Linked DNA regions of Rhinolophus ferrumequinum. The protein of the gene in region 1 binds, or shares a complex with, the protein of each later gene. Links are inferred from orthologs where the notes say so. Each region holds a gene or a part of one and is shown on either strand. Other genes may lie near its edges.

Region 1 (10,498 bases):
GCATTCTGGTCCCCAGCCTACCCCCCCCAACAACTCCTCACTCTTCAGCTTTTACCCTGAATGTTTCCCCTACATGTGCCTCCTCCGGTTCCTCCCAGACCAAGTCGGGCCTCCCACTCACAGCTCTCATAGCAACTTATCTTCACAGAGAGACAGTAGGGACTCCAGAGTCTGGAGCCACCATACCTGGCTGTGACCCCAGGCTCTGCACTTGGGCAAGTCTCTTAGCCATTCTGTGCCTCGGTTTCCTCATCTATTAAAGGAGATTTCAACAGAACCTCCTCATAAGGTTGTTGTAAGGGTTAATGAGTTAATGTGCTTCAGCTCATTGGAAGTACATGGTTAATGCTATATAAATACCAGCTTTTACAAAATTATTAAAAATAGGTCTTATCGCAATTAGAATTAAATAACATGCAATTGATTAATTACAGTCTACCTCTGGGATCTCCCTTATTCACCGCTGTAACTAAGGAGAGGAGCACAGTGCCTGAACACAGGATTTGCTGACTGCGGGAATAAGTGCACGTGGGCCCCCAGAGGGAGGAAGAGCAGGAGTTAGGAGAGCGGTACCACCACTGGGCCTGTGGGATCCACAGGGAGGGAACGCAGGGGGCTAAGTGGGACAGTACGTAGCTCTTAGGAGCACGTGAGAGAAAAAGCTTCTAAGCTGGGGCCCCCCAGGACCAAACATCACCAGAAGGGTCACTCCTAGAGGGACCTTCCTGGGAAAGGAGAGACGACTGCCCAGGGCAGCACCCACCTGCTAAAGATGTCTCCGGAGACCTTCTGCAGGTACTGCAGGGCGTCCGCCACCTGCTGGATGGCCTCCTCTCGCCGCAGGTTCGGCTGGATGAGGGGCACTGTGTATGTCTGACCTGCCAACGAGTGCTGGGTCCTCATGGGAGTCATGCTGCCTGTGGGGGAAACCGGAGCATGAGGGCCACCCCACACTCCCCCACCCCCACCCACCACAGGGCAAGGTACCGGGAGGAGGGCGCACAGCCCCTCACCCCACCGATTCAGCACGCACAGGTGGGGAGTTGGGGACAGAGCATTTGGTGGGAGGCCAGGAGCCCACAGGTATGCTGCTTATTGAGTGAATGCGGGAGGGAAATTGGTAGGAACGAGGCGACAAGAAGGGTTCAGAGAAGGTACAACACTGACTGACCCCATAAGGTGTCACATATTACCATACAGCTTTCAACCTCCCAAGCCTGGATGAACAAGAAAGAAGCCCTGGCTGCAAAGTGAAAAAGTCTGGAAGCAGAGGGATAGCTGTGGGGAGAAAATCTGCCTCAGTCAACTGCCAAACGGTACCTGGGTTATGGAAAAGCACAGAGAATGTGGACTCCTGGGTTCTTCTCACTTTGGTCCCTGAGGAACTCAGGGCTTAGTCCTCAGATAGGACAGGCAGTGGTTAGTGACTCTAGGTTGCAGTGTCCAGACTCTGCTCGCCCAGGCTCCAGCTAAGGGGGGCCGGGAGGAAGCAGGGGTATGTGGAGCCAGGAAACAGGAAGGAAAAGCGCTCCTTCGAATTGCAAGGCAGGGCAGAGTCTATTTATACTGGGCTTAATTAACTCCACTCCCTGGTGCCACTAAAGTAGCAATCGCACTGCAGACGGCACTGATTTGATTGGCAAGAGATGCACCAAGCAGAATATTAAGGCCCCAGACCCCTATAAATAGGTCTAATCACAGCCCCTTGGCAGAAGATGGGGAGGAAGACACTCACCAGGCCTGGCACTGTGCTCCAGACCTGTTTTCCTAGGCTCCATGTTAAAGGCCCCTGGTTGCAACAGCGGTGTGGGTGGGGCTCGGTGAGTATGGCAGGGAGGGCTTAGGGGGCTTCATTTGGGCTTAAAGTGCTATGTGACCTCGGGTAAGTCGCTTGCCTGCTCTGAATATCTGATGCTATTTCCCATTCTACAGAGAATGGCACTGCTCTCTAAGGGGTTTTCCCAATATATCGCACCACATCTTCACCAAGTAGGTGCTTGCTTCTCCGCTCCCTCTGCTGGTTCCCCTGGCCCTTCCGTCCGCCCTACTTGTTCTCTCCTGCCCTTCCCAGGCCAGCACTTTCATTAGCCGAGATGACTGTTCTGCTCCCCAGCTTGTTTCCCAACAGTCATGTCCTCGGCTTCTCAGACCTGAACCTCCCTTGAATCCTCAACAGGGCCCAGCACTACTCCTCACTTCTCTTGCCTCCTATCAAACGACCAAGAGTGGTGCTAGCTGATCCCTAACTGTCTGAGGAATCTAATCCTGAGACACCCCCCCAACTCCTTTCAAGGAGAATCCCTCCACTTCTTGGTATTCATATTGATGCAAATTTGCTGGCCACCCTAATTTAGTCCCGAGCTTCAGCTTTCCCATCTGTAAGATGGGGAGGGGACCACAGGTAGAAGACACTTTCCTGTGCACATCTTGAAATGCATTCGTCATGGCTAGTCACCATATCTGTGTGTGTACACACACACGAGGGAGTGATTCAGGCACCAATCTCCTGAACAAGGAAGTCCTGGGTCCATTCAGGAATTAAGAGACTGAGTACAGCTGGTTGGCGGTTTACTCGTTCTGTCTGCAAACATCTACTTATCAACTATTAGGTGCCTGCCATGATCACAACAGAGATGAACAGGGCACTCTACTGGCCATGGGAATAGCCTCAAGAACAATTAAACAGCATGTGATGTGTTCTAATCCAGCCGTGAATACAGTACTAGGGGAACACTGAGGAAGGAGTGATGAACCTCTTCTGGGGTTAAGGGAGTCCGGAAAAGCCTCTTAGCAGACGCTGTACCTCCCTAACAGTCCCAGGGAAAGCATTCCAGGTAGAAGGAACAGCTTGAACAAAGGTGTATAGGGGAATGGCAAGTGGTCCTGAGAGGTGAGGGTATAACCATCCTTGGGCAAGTAGCAGGAAAAAGAAAGATAAAGAGAGGCCAGACTGTAAAAAGCACTGAATACCACAGCAAAGAGTTTGGACTGAAATCCTCAGGCCTGCATTGTCCAGTGTGGTGGCCACTAGCTACACGCGGCTATTGAGCACTTGAACTGTGGCCAGTCTGAATTGAGATGTGGCATAAGTGTAAAATATACACCGAATTTCAGATTTAGTAGGAAAAAATAATTTAAGATAACTTATTAAAAATTTTTACAGTCCTGGGTGGCCATTTAGCTCAGTTGGTTAGAGAGTGGTGCTGAAAACACCAAGGTTGCCAATTCGATCCCTGCATGGGCACCGTGAGCTGTGCCCTCCTTACAAAACAAAATTTTTTTTACAGTTCTCCCTGATTTGCAGGGGTCCGTTCCAGAACCCCCGGTGGATGCCTGAAACTGCAGAAAGTACTGGACCCTATATACACTATGTAAAATTTTTCCTATACACACATACCTATGAGAAAGTTTAATTTATAAATTAGGCACAGGAAGACATTAACAACAATTATAAAAGAGCAATTATAACAAGATACTGTAATAACAGTAATGTGAATGGCTTTGGCAAAATAAAGGCCAAAAGGGTTATCGGAACACAAGCACAGCAATACCTGGAAAGTTGATCTGATAACCTAGTCAGGTCTACAGAATGGTTACACTGGTCAAAGGGATGATTCACAACCCAGGGAGGGCAGAGCAGGACTGAGTGGGACACCTGCAAGATTTCATCACACACTCAGAAGGCGTGCAACTTACAACTTATGAAATGTTTCTTTCTGGAATTTTCCATTTTCAAACTGTGGTTGACCCCAAGTAACTGAGACTGCAAACAGCGAAATCGCGGATGGGGGGGATGGGGAGGGCTACTGTATGTTGATTACGTGCTAAAGTCATCATACTTTGCCTATCCTGAGTTAAATAAAAAATATTACTAAACTAATTTCATTTGTTTATTTTTTTTTAAATCACGTGTGTGGCTCACATATTTCTAATGAACACCGCTACCTTTGAGAATCTGGTAAAAACTATGGACGCTTTCAAAAAACTGAACCCACACCATACCTCTCTCTCATAATGCTGTTTATAATTTCGGAAGTGCATGAAATCCTTCCTGCAAACCCCCGAACACCCAGCTCCCAGGTCCAAAACGTCTGCTGTAGGTGATCAGGGTGGGGTCGCATAAGAGGGGCGAAGGAGGCAGAGGCATTAACCGGCCTCAGTGAGGGACGGGAGCTGCAAGAGGTCTGAGGCTTCCGTCCGCATCCTAGAGCCCGGCCCCGAGGGTGGAGAGGCACGTGAGGGTCACGGGGCCGGGCCGAGAGGAAGCGGAGGGCTGCGGCCTTCGGCGCGGGGCCGCTTCGCAGCAGGGCCCTCCTCCGGCCAGGCCTCGGCCTCACTCCGGGGAAGAGGGCCAGGGCAAGGCTCAGGCGCCCGGGCCGGAGAGCCCGGGACCAACAGGGGTGGAAATCCGCCTTACTGCTGGGCGGAGGCCCCGCGCCGCTTCCAGGCTGGCGAGTCCAGCGGCGGAGTCGGAAGTCAGCCCGGGCGCAGGGTCTGCAGTCCCACCCGCCTCTCGCCGCTGCTCGCTCGCGCCCGGCCCCGCGCGGGCCCGGGTCTGCGCCCAACGCGCCCCGGAGCTGCTCCCCCCAGTCCCCTCGGCGTGCGACCAGGGAGGCCTGCACCCTCCCCGGCCGCCCAGCCCCTCGTCACCTGCGCTCCGCGCCGCGCCGCTCCATCCGTTCCGCCCGCTCCGCCCGCCGCGCTTCCGCTCCGCCGGCGCTGTCGGGTCCTGGCGCCGCCGCCGCTCTGCGCGCGGCTTCTGGTTCGCTCGCTGGCTCCCCGAGTTCGGGCCCCGAGCGCGGTCAGTCCCCGACCCCTGCGTGGAATCGCACTCGGAGCCTCCCTCCAACCGCCGGGCGCTTGCCTCTTGTAGTCCCAACACCTAACCGCCGGCCCGCGCCCCCGTCGCTGCCCCTCACTGCCCACCCCTCTGGCCTCACCTGGGTTTTCTGCCGCCCGAGGCTCAGAGACGCCCTAGCCTTTCCCCGTGTGTACCCCCTGCACGACCCCAGCACAGGCCTGCAAACAGCCCGCGCCCTCCAGCCTACGCACTTAACATGTAATACGTCTTTTAGCGCGCCTTTATTTTCTCGTCTTGACTAATGTGGGCCGTTTTCCCCATAGAATTCACTAAGTTTCCGCCACCACCCTCACCGCCACCCCTTTAAAAATTAATTATATAAGCCAGACACAAAAGGAAAAAGACTGTATTAGATTCCACTTATATAAGACAGCTAGAGTAGTCAAATCCATTGAGGCAGAAAGTAGAATGGTGGTTGCCAGGGGTGGGGAAGCAATTTGGGATGGGGGAGTTATTGTTTAAAGGGTACAGTTTCTGACAAAGCCTCTGACCAAACTGTAGTCAGGCTTCACTGAATTCTCTTCCCAACTAGGCCTCTACTGACGTTTCCGAATTTTAGCGAGAATCCTGTTAAGTGGGTTTAGACAGAATCCCCCACTCTCTGTATTAATCAGATCACCCTCCGTACTGATCAAATATCAGACCAAATTCCTCATGCTCCAACATACCCCAGGTGATAGCTAGTCGCCCTGGCCTGCTTTCAGCAAGAATCCTGTCAGGTGAGTTTAGCAAAGAATTACCCCACCATTAGTAATTTTCCATCCAGGACCACCACTCCCAGCTCCTTGGCTGTAAATCCCCACTTGTCCATGCTATGTTCGGAATTGACCCCAGTTCTGTGCTGAGGTCTCTTTTCCCCTGTTGCAAAGTCCTAGATAAAATCTGCTTTCACTGCTTTAACTACTGTCCAGATCTGGTTTTCTTTGACGTGCCTGTTTGGGATGATGAAAAAGTTCTAGAGGTTGGTAGTGGTGATGGTTGCACAACAATGTGAATGTATTTAATGCCACAGAACTGTACACTTAAAAATGGTTAAAATGGCAAATTTTTTGTTATCACATACAAAAAACAAACTATTAGATTGGTGCAAAAGTAATTGCAGTTTTTGCAATTCTATTTAACCTTTTAAACCGCAATGACTTTTGCACCAACCTAACAGTTTTTTTAAAAAAGATTTTTAAAAAGGTTAAATATATAGTGGAAGTGTTAGTCCAGAGATCTCACAATTGTCCCTCCTGGAGTCCATTGGGGCTTGTCTTAGAGTTCTTGGTCTGTCTCTTTTAGAGTTGCCTGAGGAAAATATAGGACACCAAGTTAATTTGAATTTCCGATAAAAAAAAACTAATATATGTGTGTGTGTGTGTGTGTGTGTGTGTATTTAGTGTAATTATATCCCAAACTAAGCATGAGACATGCTAAAAAATTATTTGTTGCTTACTTGAAATTCAAAATCAAATAAGTATTTGATATTTTTATTTCCTAAATTTGGCAATTCTACTTTCTTCCTAACACTCTCCAAGTTTTGTCCTCCTTCCCTGCCCCTCCTTCCAAGAGAGTTAGGTTGAATTGTCTTTTGACAAGAACATTCCACCGTCTCACCAGCTGTAGTACATGGTCACCACCAGCTGTGGAGTCCACCTATATTATGGACTGAATACTTGTGTCCCCCCAAATTCATATGTTGAAGCCCTACCCCCCAATGTGGTGGTATTTGGATCTGGGGCCTTTGGGGAGGTAATTACCTCCTTTGGGGAGGTAACTGGGGCCATCATGAAGGTGGGGCCCTCATGATGGAATTAGTGCCCTTATAAGAAGAGACACCGGAGAGTTTGCTCTTTTCTTTCTCTTCACCGTGTGAGGACACAGAGAGAAGGTGGCCATCTGCAAGCCAGGAAGAGAGTTCTCAGGAACCAAATTAGCTGGCACCTTGAGCTTGGACTTCCCAGCCTTCAGAACTATGAGAAATAATTATTCACGTTGTGTAAGCCATTCAGGCTATGGTATTTTGTTTTTAACGAATACAACCTGCTAACGCATTTCCCCCTCACTCCTCCTGAGCAATGACCGAGTAACTTAAGGTATCCAGGTTACATCAAAGGAGGGGAAATGTGCTGTGTGCAGAGGACAGCACCCAGGATCGGGGCCTCGCCACTCATTCCTTGTATGACCTTGGGCCTTGATTGCCCCGTTTATAAACTGGGGTTAAAAGTGCTTGCCCTGCCTCCTTTTGAGAGCTGTCATTGGATGTCAGAAGTTCTTCGTGATCTGTAAAGTTTATTCAAGGACAAAAGGAAATTTGGACGTGCTCTGGGATGTCTGTCTATACATAGACACACAAACACACACCACGTGACAGGAAACCTAGCTGTGTTTTCTCACAAAAGTGCAGCTAGACAGTGCCCCATGGCCCAGGCCAGCCAGGTCACCTCCATACAGTTCACCTTTCACTACATAAAAGTTCTCTGCCAAATCTACTATTTGTAGACTCATCCCAGACCTAATTTTAAAAACTTCCAAGGAGCTGGATTGCAAAGACATTTGACCTCAGCCACTCAAGCTGCAATGGGAATCCTTGACCTCGCCCTGGAAAAGAAAAGCTGAATGTCAGCCTAATGTGTGGACCCTATGGCCCTACCTGCCTTTGTTGGCCCATTGTGTTATTCTATGTATATGAAATATCCAGAATATGTAAATCCTGGGAGACAGAGCATAGATTGGTGGTTTCCAGGATCTGAGGGGAGAGGAGAACGGGAAATGGCTACTTAATGGGTGCAAGTTTTTATTTTGGGGTGATAAAAATGTTTGGAACTACATAGAAGTGGTGGTTGCACAACATTGTGAAGGTGCTGAATGCCACTGAACGGTTCACTTTCAAACTTTCATGACAGTCATATAAGTTTGCTTTATATGACTTTCACCTCACTTCAAACAAACAAACAACAATAACAAAAAGATGCTAGGAGCAGGAAATGCTGTATCCATATGAGGCCAAGCCGGTGTCTTACCCTTTCTACCCTCCTCGGTGTGGAGCGTGTACTGGATGTGAGGTACATCAGAGAACGCAAGAGTCTGAAGAGACCTCAGAGGCCGTAGAGTGACGCTCCACTCATGGACACAGGAGCATGGTGGCAGCACAGATAGACTGAGGGCCTTTTCTCTGTATCCTCCGAGGATACCTTTTCCTTTCCCCAGAATGAAGATGACGAAGACGCAACAGTCTCCTTTGTCACCATTCTTTCAGCCCACATTGGTGGAGTGCTTGCTCTGTGCCTTCAAACAAGTCAGGGAAACGGACACTTAAGCTGATGCTTGCCAGGTGTGATTGCATTTTGATGGAAGCAGTGGAGGGCTTGCTCCGAAGCACGGAGCAAGGCGTGCATTCAGTTCAGACTGCTCTCGGTAGTGCAAACAAAAACCTCACGACAGGGCTTACGCATTAGGAGATGCTGTTTTCCACATTGGAAGAGAACCAGCAGTAGACAGAACGGGGCTGATTTCGTGGCTCCATGGTGCCTTGCGGAACCTGGAATCTTCTTTCTACTCTGCCTTAGCACATGGCAGGCATCCTTATGGTTGTAATACGTATGCTCCATTCCGGGGCATTGCAGCTGACTTCCAGGTGGGAAGAAAGGAAGCACAAAGAAAAAAGGCAAAAGGCATGTAGGAGGCCAATCTTTTCCTTTTTTTTTAAAGCTTCTCTAAGACTCTCCCTCCAGCAACTTCCTCTTACAATTTATTGGCAGGGACTGGATCACATGACTGCTGCTAGCTGCAAGGGAGTCTTGTGAAATGGGTATTGAAATCCCCTGAACAAAATTGGAATTTCATTAGGAGGAAGGGGAGAATAGACAGAGGGTAGTCAGCTGTGCAGTGTCTGCTAGATACACCTAATCCTTCCTTGTGACTTCGGGGGTTGCTCGGAGAAGGTTTCCTGGAGAACATGATGCCAGACACGAAGCTTAAAGAATAAGTAGGAGTTACCTCGGTGAAGCAGGGTGGAGTTATAGGCATTCCAGGGACATCAGACAGCAGGAGTGTACTAATTTAGGTAAGGTTAGCTGCTGCAACAAACTGAAAACTTTAAATAAAAACTTTATAATGGCTTAAATGTAATGGAAGCTCATTTCTGACTAATGGAACGTCTGAAACAGTGGATGGCTCTCCTTCACATTTTAATCCAGGGACCCAGGTACTTTCCATCTAAGACTCTACCATCTTCAACACGGGGCTTCCCAGATTGGAAGGGGAAAGAGCATGAAGAGCCTTGTGGGAGGTTTGATGGAACAGGCCTGGAAGGAGCATGCAACTCCTGTTTACATTCCATTGGCTGGAGCTGGTTCAAATGGCCACATCCAACTGCAGGGGAGACTGGGAAGTACAGTCAATTTCTATTCCCAGGAGGAAGAGCTAGCCAGTTTCTGCTATAATGATCAGGAGGTGAGAAAATGCACAGTTGGGTGTGGAGTAGGCAATGAGACAAAACCATAAACAGTTTGGTGTTGCTGAAGTTCAAAGGCAGAGAGAGGTGGGGATGGGATTAGAGAAGTCAGTAGGCACCAGACCACAATACTAGGTATGATTTTTGGAGTTGCTAGTCTGTGCCAGGTAATGAGCTCGGTACTTTACATATATAATCTCAATTATGACGAAATATCTGTCCTGTGGAGAAGAGATAGGAGATCTTCTATGTGTATTTGTTTTGCATAACAATCCTATTTCCTAACAAGTATATAGATCTTCATTGAGTGCAAAATACATGTACATATACAATGTTTAATGCTTATAAGTATTTGATGAGGAAAATATTCCCATCATTCTTATGTAAAATTGGGGAAAAAATGAGGTTTTAAGATATTTAAGAACTTGTTCAAGGTCAGATAGGGCCACCTCTTTACAATAAGCACTCTTATCCACTATATTCTCTCTCATAGAGGGTCTCATGTGTCGTATAGTAAGGAGTCCAGACTTGAGCCAGCTCTTTCTGTGGCCAAACTTGAGCTCCTTCAGATTTGTTTAGACTTACCTCTAATCAGTGGTATCAGGAGGACAGGAAGGACTCCGTGCAACCATGAATGCATCCTTCTTGGAGCAGTACCTGGATCTCCCAGTGAGGAAGGTCTCCATTTTCAGAGGGAGAGCTCAGCGAGCTGCAGTGCCCTACTCTGAGCCCAAAATGACCACCTGAGAACGTTACAGCTCTCCCACGACCCCCAATGCTGGTCTTCTCTACAGCCTTGGAGGCCTGCGGCTGGGTAAACAGAGACCGGGAGCATAAGCAAGGGGGAGCAGAAGCGGGGCCACTGGCAGGGCTGATATCCATTAGTCACAGTAGACACAATACTTGTAGAGACCCACAAAAATATTTTAATTAAAGTCAGAAGACAAAAATGAATTTTAGATTCAAAGACATATTTTAATATAAAATATTAATATATTCATCTATGTGCCAACATAGTCTTAAATTTTAACTTTTAATATTTGTTTATAGAATAAGGTCCCCATGAAGGCAAAAGTGCTTAGTCTATGAAAGTCATAATGAGGTTGGTGCGTGAGTGTGTGTGTGTGTGTGTGTGTGTGCGTCCAGCATCCATCTCATTGAACCCCATGCACCATAACATGCTCTAAGTAACCTGGAAC
Region 2 (10,751 bases), about 71 Mb from region 1:
ATACATACTCTTTAGAAAAGCCATTGTCACTTGATCAACTATACCTGGCTTCATTTATGGGCTGCTGAAGTTCATTTCTAAGATGTTGATGCCTTCTGCATTTTCCTTGTACAACCCCAGACTACTACAAAGCAAGTTTCTAACCTTGGGTCTACTGACATTTTGGGCTAGACAATTCTTTGTTGTGGGGGGCTGTCTGGTGCACTATAGGATGTGTAGCAGAATCTCTGACCTCTATCCACTCAATGCCACTAGTACTCTCCAGTCGTGACAACTAAAAATATTTCTTGACATTGCCAAATGTCTCGTAGTTCAGAACCACTGCTTTAACGTGTAGATGACTTGACTATGAATATAAATAATATAACCAACGAGAGTAACTGTGCCCATCTCTGAAAGTTTAAGCAAGGAGGAAATGGAAAGACATCAGTTTCCCATGTATTTAGCCACCCTTTTATCTTTATAAGGATTTAAAGCAAACCTGAAATATACCTTGGCTTGGGACAGTAGAGGAATTTACAAGTTACCTGAAATCTGTAAGCTGAGCTGAAAACTTCTTGATTTATCACCCATCTATTTCTAACGCAGAGTATTTTATTAAAGTGAAAAAGAAGACGAAAGGAAGAAATATGGAGTGAATAGTTAAACATGGAAACAAAAATAAAATACTGTGGTTTTTAGGTTTGTAAAATATCCAGTGTGCATATCCAATTCTCTAAAAGAGAAACAGTATTTTAAAATAATGGATCTCTTGGTATATCACACTGGATTGTACGTGTCCGAACAGCCAGAAAGGGAAGCAATTGCTGGTTTTATTAAGCTTCATCTGACACTTAAGCCCAGCAGTTGTAAAAGTTGTAAAAGCAGTTGTAAAAACTTGTAGCAATAAATAGTTTTAAACAAAACATTATTTGGTTGATAAGTCCGATGGTGGGCTTAAAACTGGATGTAGAAGATAAGCACTGTAAAGTTTTTTAGATTATGTGAGAATTCTCAGCAGTTTTGCCTATACTTAAGATTTTAGAAACAAAAAGAAACATTTTAGAATATGTTTTAAATGATTAAAAACCCAGTATTCTAGGCATGTTACAAGTCTGAGTCAAAATGACACATCTGACTATCCTGTTTATAGAGTAGCTTTGACTTTAAAATTCAATATAAGGTTAAATTTCTGCTCACTTTTATCTGCAATATGCATAGAACTTGCATTGAATGCCCCACCCACCCCACTCCCAATTTAAATTAGCAGTCCCAATGGACCACCATAAGATTTTGCTGATTAGGGCCAGAGTAGAAATGCTTACTGGGGATTTGTGAAGAGATGACCCTAAGTAACTCTGCAACTTGGATCTGATTCAGCTACTTTCCTTTCTCCCTCTTCTAACTTCTTTCCTACCCTGGATCCAGTCATTAGAACAGTTACAAAGTAGTCTGGTATCCAGAAAGTTTTTTAAAAGTTAAGTTCTTCACTTTTCTCTTTACTAGAGAACTCTAAAACCAGTATTAGTGATGAAGAGAGCCCCAGCAATTTATTTCAAATTTAATTACAGTTTAAGTTTAGCAGTGACTGAAGTTGTTACAGTTTGGGTTTGGTTCAAACCAGATTGTATGAAAAACAAAAAACAAAACACAAACAGGTATTTCTTCCCTCCCTCCCCCATTAACTTCCAGTTCAACACATAACAGCTGAGGTTCATGTTTTGTTGAGGGAAACAGTCATTTGGGTTCTTGTTTGAGGCTTTAAATGAGGATTATAGACCTACTAGGTGCCATGTCAAAAAACCACATTAATCTTAACTTGGAATAAAATGGCACCTTATGTTTGAACACATATATTATGTCCTTTGAATTCATCATATCAAAAAGACATTACATCAAAGGGATATGGCATAGCAAAGAGAATACGTATCTGAAAAATACAATTTGAAATAGCTATAAAAAAGACACTTTGAAGTCTCTCACTTGCAAATGATGTAAACATGCCTCTTATTCAGGGCAGAAGATGCAATATAACTGAATAGGGAGACATTTTTGTTTTTTCCAGTGAGTAGATCAGAGTTGGAATCCCAGCTCTGCTATTTTCCAGCTCTGTGAGTGTGGGCAAGTTAGCGCAGTTACTGCAGCTATAAATACTATGCACTTAAATATATGTTGAATGAATGAATGAATGGCTAAACAAATGATTTAAACTTCTCTACATCTTGTTTCTGTATTTCTAAGAGAGAGATAGCTGGACCTCTTCCAAAGGGCTGGCTGGAATGATTAAAGATATGTAAAGCAATTAGTACAATGCCTAGCACGGAATAAGCACTGTCATCACACCCAGCAAACAGTCTACAACTATATCCAAACTGCTAAAATATGAATTGTAAATAATGAGTCCTAGTCAACCTAGAGTATCATTCATTAAGGAGAAAAAGGCAATAAACATTTAAACTTCATGAGTTTTTAGTTAACAAGCTTGTCTCTAGAGTTCAAGGAAGAACTAGGGAATAGTGAACAATACAGTGAAAACAGCTGAGGGGAAGTTGAGAGAGGAAGTTGAGAAGGGGAGAAAAGAATGAATCACGAGGCTCTGATAATTCCTAAGAAATCAGTAAACAAGAGATGATGATTGTTATATCTGATCTAGTCCCCAGTCGACAGTACTCACTGCCCAGGCCATGAAAACCATGAGGCACTACAGAGGTGAGGCGCTATCCTTGGCCCAGAGCAGCTCAGTTAAGTTGCTTTCATAGGTGTGTTTGCTGGCTGTTGCTGTTTATTTTTTAACCCAGTGATGAGGGGATGGAGTATCTGCTCCTCTCTACTAACAATCCTGGAATAGTCGCTGTCCAGATACTTCTCTACCCATCCCTGACATAAAAAGTGAAGGACTAAATCCTTGGTTTACTGGTTTTTGGTCAGTCAATTCTACACCCATTTAGAGAGGCAGCAATATAAAACTCACTGAAGCAAGCACCTAGTCTCTGGACCTATTAGATAAAATATATTGAATTGAATCCCTTACTCTATCAATTATCATTTCAGTGCCTTTGTCTTAGTAAGAAGACAGAAAAGATTTTGATAGCTAGACAAAAACAGCAGCTGAAATCTACAAGTGAAAATAGTTTTCTTCTCTCCATGCAATTTTTATTAATCAGATATCTAAGAAAAACTCCATTTGCTAAGGCTATACCTTATGTTAAATACAACACATAAAGAACTCAATAGGCTTATTTAATTGGCTCACCTGTGAATTATGTGAGTTTATCTTTCTCCTTTCTTAAATCCAATTTCAACCCATGTTTCCCATTTCCTCCCCATTCTCTTTTTTGCCTTTTTCCCCCCTAAAGACAGGGATCTCTCATCTTTAATTGGGTACTTAATCCTCACTTCACAAATCAGTTGCAGAAAGTATTTTTATTTTCATAATGATATTTGATGCCAAAGCTATGTTTCTAGGCTACCTTCTTACCCATTTTTTTTTTTTTTGGCTCCAAAGATGTAAAATAATTTTAATATCAACTGAAACAATGTGAACTTGAAAATGTAAATCTTTGGGGTAAGAGAAACATAACTAATTTCAAAATACAAAATGTTTTCAACTGTGAAATTTTGGAATTCCTTTTGTTCTCTTTAATCATAAGCTTTACTGAACTATTTCACAAAGGCCTCTAGAAAACTAATGCAACAGAAGTGGAGTGCAGGACTGATGGTAACAGAATCAAAAAGGATTTAAAGTATGTTAACATAATTGGGTTCATATGGGAAGAGTAGACTGTAATTCTTGTTTTACTCATTTGCCGTCTTCAGAAGTGCAAAGTGATTTTTAGGGTACTCATTACACCAGTATCACAGGACCTACCTCCTCACAAACTGTAGAAAAGCGATTGAGGAACTGTACAGTGTGCACCACAAACTGGTTTAGAAATGCCACCGTTCTTTTCTGCTGAATAGCTGGCACCTGTGTTATGTAAAAAATATATATATATGTGATTCGTACAGGAGGAAGATACACTGTGCAATCCCTTTGATATTAATATAACGGGGTGTTTTATGAGCTGTGTGACACGAATCCCTTTTAGTACTGCCAACAGGCAGTCCATAGTTTGTTTTCCCAAATCGTGGGGGTGGGGTGTCCGAAGATGGCAGAAGCTGCAGAAAAGTTTGAGAATGGGCTCTGGATTCACAAGTAAGAACTTGTCGGTAAAGACAGCACACATAAACACACAAAAAACCTGGGGGCCGAGTAAAAGAGGTGGGGTTAGAGTTCGCAACCGGCCCATGTCGCCTTGAGCATAGAGACCCGTGAAGCGAGGGCTGGGAGAGGCACACGACCCCCTTAAACAGCTCGGGAGGGACCCCTTTTCAAGGTGAAGTGTGGGACTCTCCCTCCCGAGACCGGCCGAAGAGAAGCCCGGGGCCAGGGACAGGGTGAGGCATGGGAGATGGGGTCCCCCTGGGCATCGGGCGTCCCTTCCCCATCCTCCTCCCAGGTCACCGGAAGTTCAACTCCTTCCTTTACAAACCTTGGTCAGGTCTATGCCTGACCCCATGAGAGGAAGCCCGTCCTCATCCATCTCCTCAGCGGGCGGGGGACCCAGGGATCACCCACAAAGTCCTCCCTGACGTGGCCCGCCCAACCTGGTAATAGTGTTTAAACGTCTCCCCCAAGTCCCCGCCTCCCGGGCCCTTCCTGCCGGAAGGAAAAGTCCCCGCTCGCCAATCATTCGGCGGCTCTCGGAGAGCACGCCCCCCGCATGGCATTCTGGAATTGGTAGTTCTAGGTCTGGTTTGTCACGTCAGACGCGGGGTGCAGCGTGGTTGCAGTTCTCGTAGTAAAATCTTAAAAACGAGGCAAAAAAGAAGAGTAAATGATTGCGTCCTTTTGAGGTTATACCTGCTTAGTTTTATCTGTTAAATATATTTAGCTAGGGGTCATTCATTAATCAAGTGTGTGTGTGTGTAACTTTTTTTTTATGCTGAATGCCAGGTACTCTGCTAGGCCTTGTGGGGAATACCAAGATTGAGTCAGATTAAGCCCGCTGTGCTTTATGCCCTGACAGAGAAGATAAGACTTGTTTTTAGAGGACTTTAAAACATGAAATACGTTGGAAATATCCACTTAGAGACATCATCAAAAAGGGGCCACAGACACCTGAAAAGACTGCACCTGGGATTTGAAGATCTTGGTTCAGATTTTGATTGTGCAGTTTACCAGCTATGTGATCTAGGACAAGTCACCAAACCAAAAGTTGAACCCCTTCTACTAGATACCAAGCACGATGCTCAGTACTAAGAAGATGAAGAAAATCGTCTCTGCCTTCAAGAAGATTTTAATCTAAGGCAGACGTAGAGTCTGGAATTGCCACATCTAGTGCAAACAATACTGAGAAAGTTGTGCGCACACACCCACACAGAGGCAAAGTGCTTTGGTATTGTAGACGAAAGGTGCTTTTAAATCCTCTGAGAAAACCAGAGAAGATAGCTTTTAAACGACAGAAGGTAGTTTTTTAGCAGGTTCCTGAGTGGAGTTAGCCAGACAGACAATTTCGGGTGGATCTTTGTACAAACAAAGGCATAGAGGCATGGAGGAGTATGGTTTGTAGAGGCAATGGGTAACTGGTTGTGCTGAAGCAAAAAATCCCAGAAATGGAAAATGGAAGCAAATGAGACAGGAATGGACAGAAGAGCTCATTAAGGCCCTTTTATGCCAGATTTGATACTCTAGTTCATGTTTCTCCAAAGTGTGATCCATGGGCCAGTTGTATCAATTATTTGGGCGTGGATGGTGCTTCTTACAATGCACATTCCAGGAATTGACCTTAGATAAACTCAGGACCTCTGGGGGAAATCCGCATTTTAATCAACCTCGCTTGCCCCCACCATTATTCTGAACCAAAAGGTGTTATTTCTATAGGTGATGGAGCCATTCAAAAATTCTGAACACGAGAGTGACGATTTACATTTGTAAAAAGGCTGCCTAGCACATAGATGTGCAATAAAAGTTGGAAACAGAAAAGTTGAGAGTACTATTTGTAGACGTAGAAATGGGAGGTAGAAGTGAGGATGGATAGGATGAGGAATATGTTTAAATATATTTCTTCATGTCTCTGTATCTATGTAATTGTGACTATATAATCTCTTCACATATAATTGAATATTTCATTGTTATTTTTCAACAACATCTATTGAGCATCTTCTATGTTCTAAATACTGTACTAGCGCCACACTAAATAAGATAAACATTGTGAGTGACAGCTCTAGGCAACTGTCCTTTATGTTTTTTGCCTTGATAATGTCCATGAGTAGGAATTTTTCCATTAGGTTATAAATTCCTTGGGGTAAAGTGCTCGCTTCGGCAGCACATATACTAAATTCCTTGGGGTAAATATTATCTTCTTTTCTTATGAGTCCTCACTTAGTACCAGCCACTCTGCTTTTTAATGAATACTCATTAATAATTTTAATACATGGTCTTGAGGGCTGTGATCTAGGATGACCTGGGATGGTGTCAGGGATTGAAGAGAGCCAGCCATCCATCAATCCACAAGATATTCCTTACTATGTGCCAAGCACTAGTCTATGAATCTGGGATACAGTGTTAACAGAACAGACAAAAATTCTGCCCTCATGAAGGTAAACAGATAATGAACAAGTAAGCAAACAGACATTAAGTTGCTCACAGTCCAGCTAGGGAGACAGAAAAATGCAAAAAGATTAACAATGTGGTAGTCTAGGTTAAAGTATGCCCCAAACAGGAGCACCCAGATCAGATTGATGAAATTAGGTGTGGTTTCCTAGAGGAGCTGATGTCTTAGCTGAATTTTGAAGATACAAAAGTTAGCAAGGTGAAGCAAATGGGGAGGAGCATTCCACAAAGAGGAACAGTATGTACAAAGGTGGTGAGGTTTGCACGCCCGAGATCTACATGCTCCAGATAAGAGCACCCCTTCCCTGGCCTACACAGCACCTTTGGTAGGAGTGAAGACCATCACTCATTCTTTCATGAGCTCTCCTGCTTCTGGCAAGAGTCCCCCCCGCCCCCCCCCCGAATCCCCCTCCACACACACCTTTTCCTCAACTACTCTGTGCCTTAAAACATTCACAATTGGTCCGGGACTCCCAAGTTATCCCTCATCCTTCAGGCTCTCCTCAACCTCAACCATATGGGTTTCTACATCACCTTTCCTGACCCCTCCCCAACTTCTAGACCCTTCCTCTAGGGTTTGGGAATTGGGTCATTGGCAAAATCTTCATTTCTCAATCTCATCTTTGCTCATTCTTCTCTTCAAACTCAAGCTTGACTGTTTCTTGAGGATATAGCATCCTATTCATCCTGTGGTTCTTTTTTCACCCACACCCTTACAATACTAGGCCAGGAGGTGGGGTGGGTGTTTTCCTTGCTTCTCATTGCTTTCAGACCATTGTTGTTCCTTTTTCCTTACAAACGCCCCACAGCTCTGGGTTTATGCTATCAGACATAAAATGACATCCTCGTAGCGGTCATCTGCAGGCTCCTAGGTTACTGTTATTCATTCCTTGAAGTCCTTAGTTTATGGCTCACTGCCATTCCTTCTAACACTACTCTTGTTGTAATTCTTGAAATTTGAGTATCTACAGAGATCATCTTTCTGGTATCCTGATTTCTCAGTTCCGGCAATTCTCCTCCTGGGATCTTGTCCTGTACTCTCCTATTTCAGGCACACTCTCCCTTGCATGTTCAATCTTAGCAACCTGGGGGCTGGGATGGAGGCCTAAGTGATTTATTTTTGTGATTGGGTTCCTTCCAGACCCAAGTCTGTCCCACCAGCTTATACTGTTGGCAAAGTCTGCGCTGGTTTCTTCTTGACTCTGCATTTTCCCAGAGTGTCACAGGCTTGCTCTTCCATCTACTTATACCCAGACCAGACCCTTCTTCTTGAGTATGGCAATGCACAGCTCTCTGCTCACCTGTGTCCCTCTAGACATAAATACCTGTCAGAATTTAATTATTAAGATCTATCCACTGCTTCCCAACAACCCCATGGAAAAGTGTGATTACTTTATCTGGTTATTTCTTATTACTACAAATGTGAGAGGCTTTCTGACATCTTTCTATATCCTAATCAGTGGCAGAAGTCTAATCATCCTATCCTTAGAGCAGCTTTCCCTCATCCATCAAGACTAGATTAACTGTTCCTCCAAATACATGCTTCCTTCCATAGCATCTTCTGCTTCACTTCATCTCAGTACATATTATACTTACTTGTTTGTCTGAAGCACTAGACCATTGATTTAGGGCAGAGATTCTGCCTTGTTCACTATTAATGCCCTAGCTCAATGTCTGATCTATTGTAAACCCTCAGTACCTGTTGAATGCATTGGGGCCTAATGACCCTTGTGCTTTCACAGCTTACACGAATCCTTGATTTAGGTGGGACCCACAATTCTGGATAAATTGTTTCAATCAGCTCCCCAAAGCAGAATCCCAACTAAGCCAGCCTAGAGTCTAGCCTTCCTCTCCAGAGCCAGGAGAGGCTCCCAACCAGATAGGAAAAAAAGACAAAACGAAATCAGAGATCCGCTTTATGGTTATGTATTTATCTGTTCTCTATATATGTATAAAATAGAATTATAGAAACATGAACTTGTTCTCAGTCGGCCAATTGACAAAACACTTTTTTTTCACAGTGGTTCGGTTTCTTTATAAAACAAAAGACAAATATAATTCTAGAAGAGGAGAGTTCTAGTTAAGAGAAAGAAGAGTGGCAGTTTTTCTTTGCTTCCTGGGGTCCTTGATCATCAATCATCCCTAGCTCCTGACAGCAATGCCAGTCACAATTTAGTCACTGAATTTCCAGGACTATTAAAAACAATCTATAGCTGTAAGTCTTGGCCAACTGCCAGAAATCCTCTGAAATATGTTCTTCTTCCTGCAGGCTTTCTCTCATTGGAAATGTATTAGCATATTTCATTTACCGTAGTGAATTTTGATAGCAAAACAAGTTTATTGTAATGGATACCAGCTTCAAAGGGCAGAGACTAATATGCCATCTGCATCTATCTGTTCAATAAAAAAAAAATCTTAATTTTTCAATACTTATCTTGGTTTTCATAGCAGATTACTAGAAAAATCACTGCCATTTAACTTCATCATGGGTAAGTTCTAGGTGGGGTAAATAATGAGAATTGAGTTCCCGTTTTTCTTTTGTGTTTCTTTCTGCTCTGCTTCAGATGGAACAGTTAAAGGGGTATGTATTGGTTCATAATAGTGGGCAAATAAAATGTCCCCTATCCCTGCCCCACCTCACCCTTCAGGAGTGATACCAATTGTCTGTTGAAAAGGGAAAATAGTGTTAGTCAAGTGAAAGAATTCTATCCTAGTTATTTCCATTGTGTTAAGAATTCGTTGTTTTAGGCTACTTCTTTTAATTGTTCTGGCTTTTGGAACTTCACTCAGAAAGCTGGGTTGTAGGCTTATATCCTCTAGGCCGGAGACTGGATTCCCCTCTAGAAAGATGACTACTTCAAGAGGAGATCGAAAGATACTTACAGTTGGGGGGGGGTCTCCAATAAAACAGGTAGCCAGATGGTACTGCTTTCCTTGAGCGGGTTGGGGAAAGGTCTCAGTTGCATTTGTACCCGTGAGTTTTAATACATACAGGTGCCTAAGTGATGAAACAGAGAGGCTAATGCTATTGAGAGAATTTCTTAGTTACATTTCCCAGGAGAAAGGGGCATGCATGCCACACAGAGCCATTAGGTTTTGGTTAGGAGGTAGACAGAAGCAGGAGCCAGGGGAAAGCCTAGGCCAGGGTCTTTATTGGGGTTTCTGTGGGAAATGTATTATCTTTAGATACCCCTGGTCAGTTGCAGAGTGTGAAAGCATTCACAAGACTCAGACAAATGAGAAAGCAAGGAGAGGTTTTATTAGTCAGGAGAAAGGAAGCTAGTGTCAGTGTCTTGGGAAGACGGCTGCCCTTTCCTCTAGGATAGCTTTTTCTTATATAGAAAAAGGCAGGTAAATTTTCTTACAGCAGGAGATGTGACGCCCCTCTGAGATCATTTGATTGACGTATGCAGGTTACATAACGAGTTTCTGTGCATGCTCTTATCCATAATGCATACAGAAAAACCCACAGGGGTGCCAAACCTTAATGCTCATTTTATTCTAATTGCGGTTAGGCTTCAGCCATCTGCACAGGTGTCAGGAACAAACTCAATCCCGTTGGGGTCTTATCTGCCTTTTTAAGGGGTGTTTGAAGCTTATCTCTGAGACCAGGCTGGGCAGTTCCTGGGGAGGGGCTGCAGGCCTGGGCCATCCCGCTTGGGTCCACTGTCATTAACTCTTTTTCTGCCTCATCGGGAAAGGCAAGGCAGGGCAGGGATACAGCTGGAGATTGGCTAATGTGAATGACTGCCAATTTGATGTATGAAGGCTTACGTAAGATGGCTGGGGGTACAGGTACCTCCTGCTTTTCAAGTTTTTGTTACGCCACTTGGCTTTTACCGAAGGCCTACCTTAGTACCTGTGAAGAGGATTTTCACTTTTATGAAGAAAGGTGAAAAGGGAAAATAGTGCTCAGCGTTTGTTTTGCAGTGAGCCCTCATGCAGGCAGCACTCACCTGAGTAATGAGAGTGGCCCCGCCAAGCTCCTTCCCCCGAACCACTCGGTGTCTCAGCATCAAGCCGCCATAGCCTTGACCGGTGTCTGTGAGCATCTGTGCTTTGTCTCCATTACATTCTGTATCCCTTAGCGAGATGTATCCTAAGGTATCAGAGAAGC

What was found.
Region 2: WASHC1 (region 1) and WASHC3 share a complex: the UniProt entries of both Homo sapiens proteins name them as parts of the WASH core complex. The link is inferred for Rhinolophus ferrumequinum from reciprocal best matches to the Homo sapiens genes WASHC1 and WASHC3.

What each region holds. Positions count from the first base shown.
Region 1 is NC_046293.1:88,118,042-88,128,539, forward strand, and holds the start of WASHC1 (WASH complex subunit 1), read right to left. Parts: upstream 4,803-10,498; 5' UTR 4,651-4,802; intron 4,621-4,650; exon of another isoform or gene 4,418-4,620; intron 4,377-4,417; exon of another isoform or gene 4,003-4,376; intron 3,748-4,002; exon of another isoform or gene 3,552-3,747; intron 918-3,551; 5' UTR 913-917; coding exon 764-912; intron 1-763. UniProt on the Homo sapiens protein: Acts as a component of the WASH core complex that functions as a nucleation-promoting factor (NPF) at the surface of endosomes, where it recruits and activates the Arp2/3 complex to induce actin polymerization, playing a key role in the fission of tubules that serve as transport intermediates during endosome sorting.
Region 2 is NC_046293.1:17,288,084-17,298,834, reverse strand, and holds the start of WASHC3 (WASH complex subunit 3), read right to left. Parts: upstream 4,667-10,751; 5' UTR 4,563-4,666; coding exon 4,512-4,562; intron 3,947-4,511; coding exon 3,848-3,946; intron 1-3,847. UniProt on the Homo sapiens protein: Acts as a component of the WASH core complex that functions as a nucleation-promoting factor (NPF) at the surface of endosomes, where it recruits and activates the Arp2/3 complex to induce actin polymerization, playing a key role in the fission of tubules that serve as transport intermediates during endosome sorting.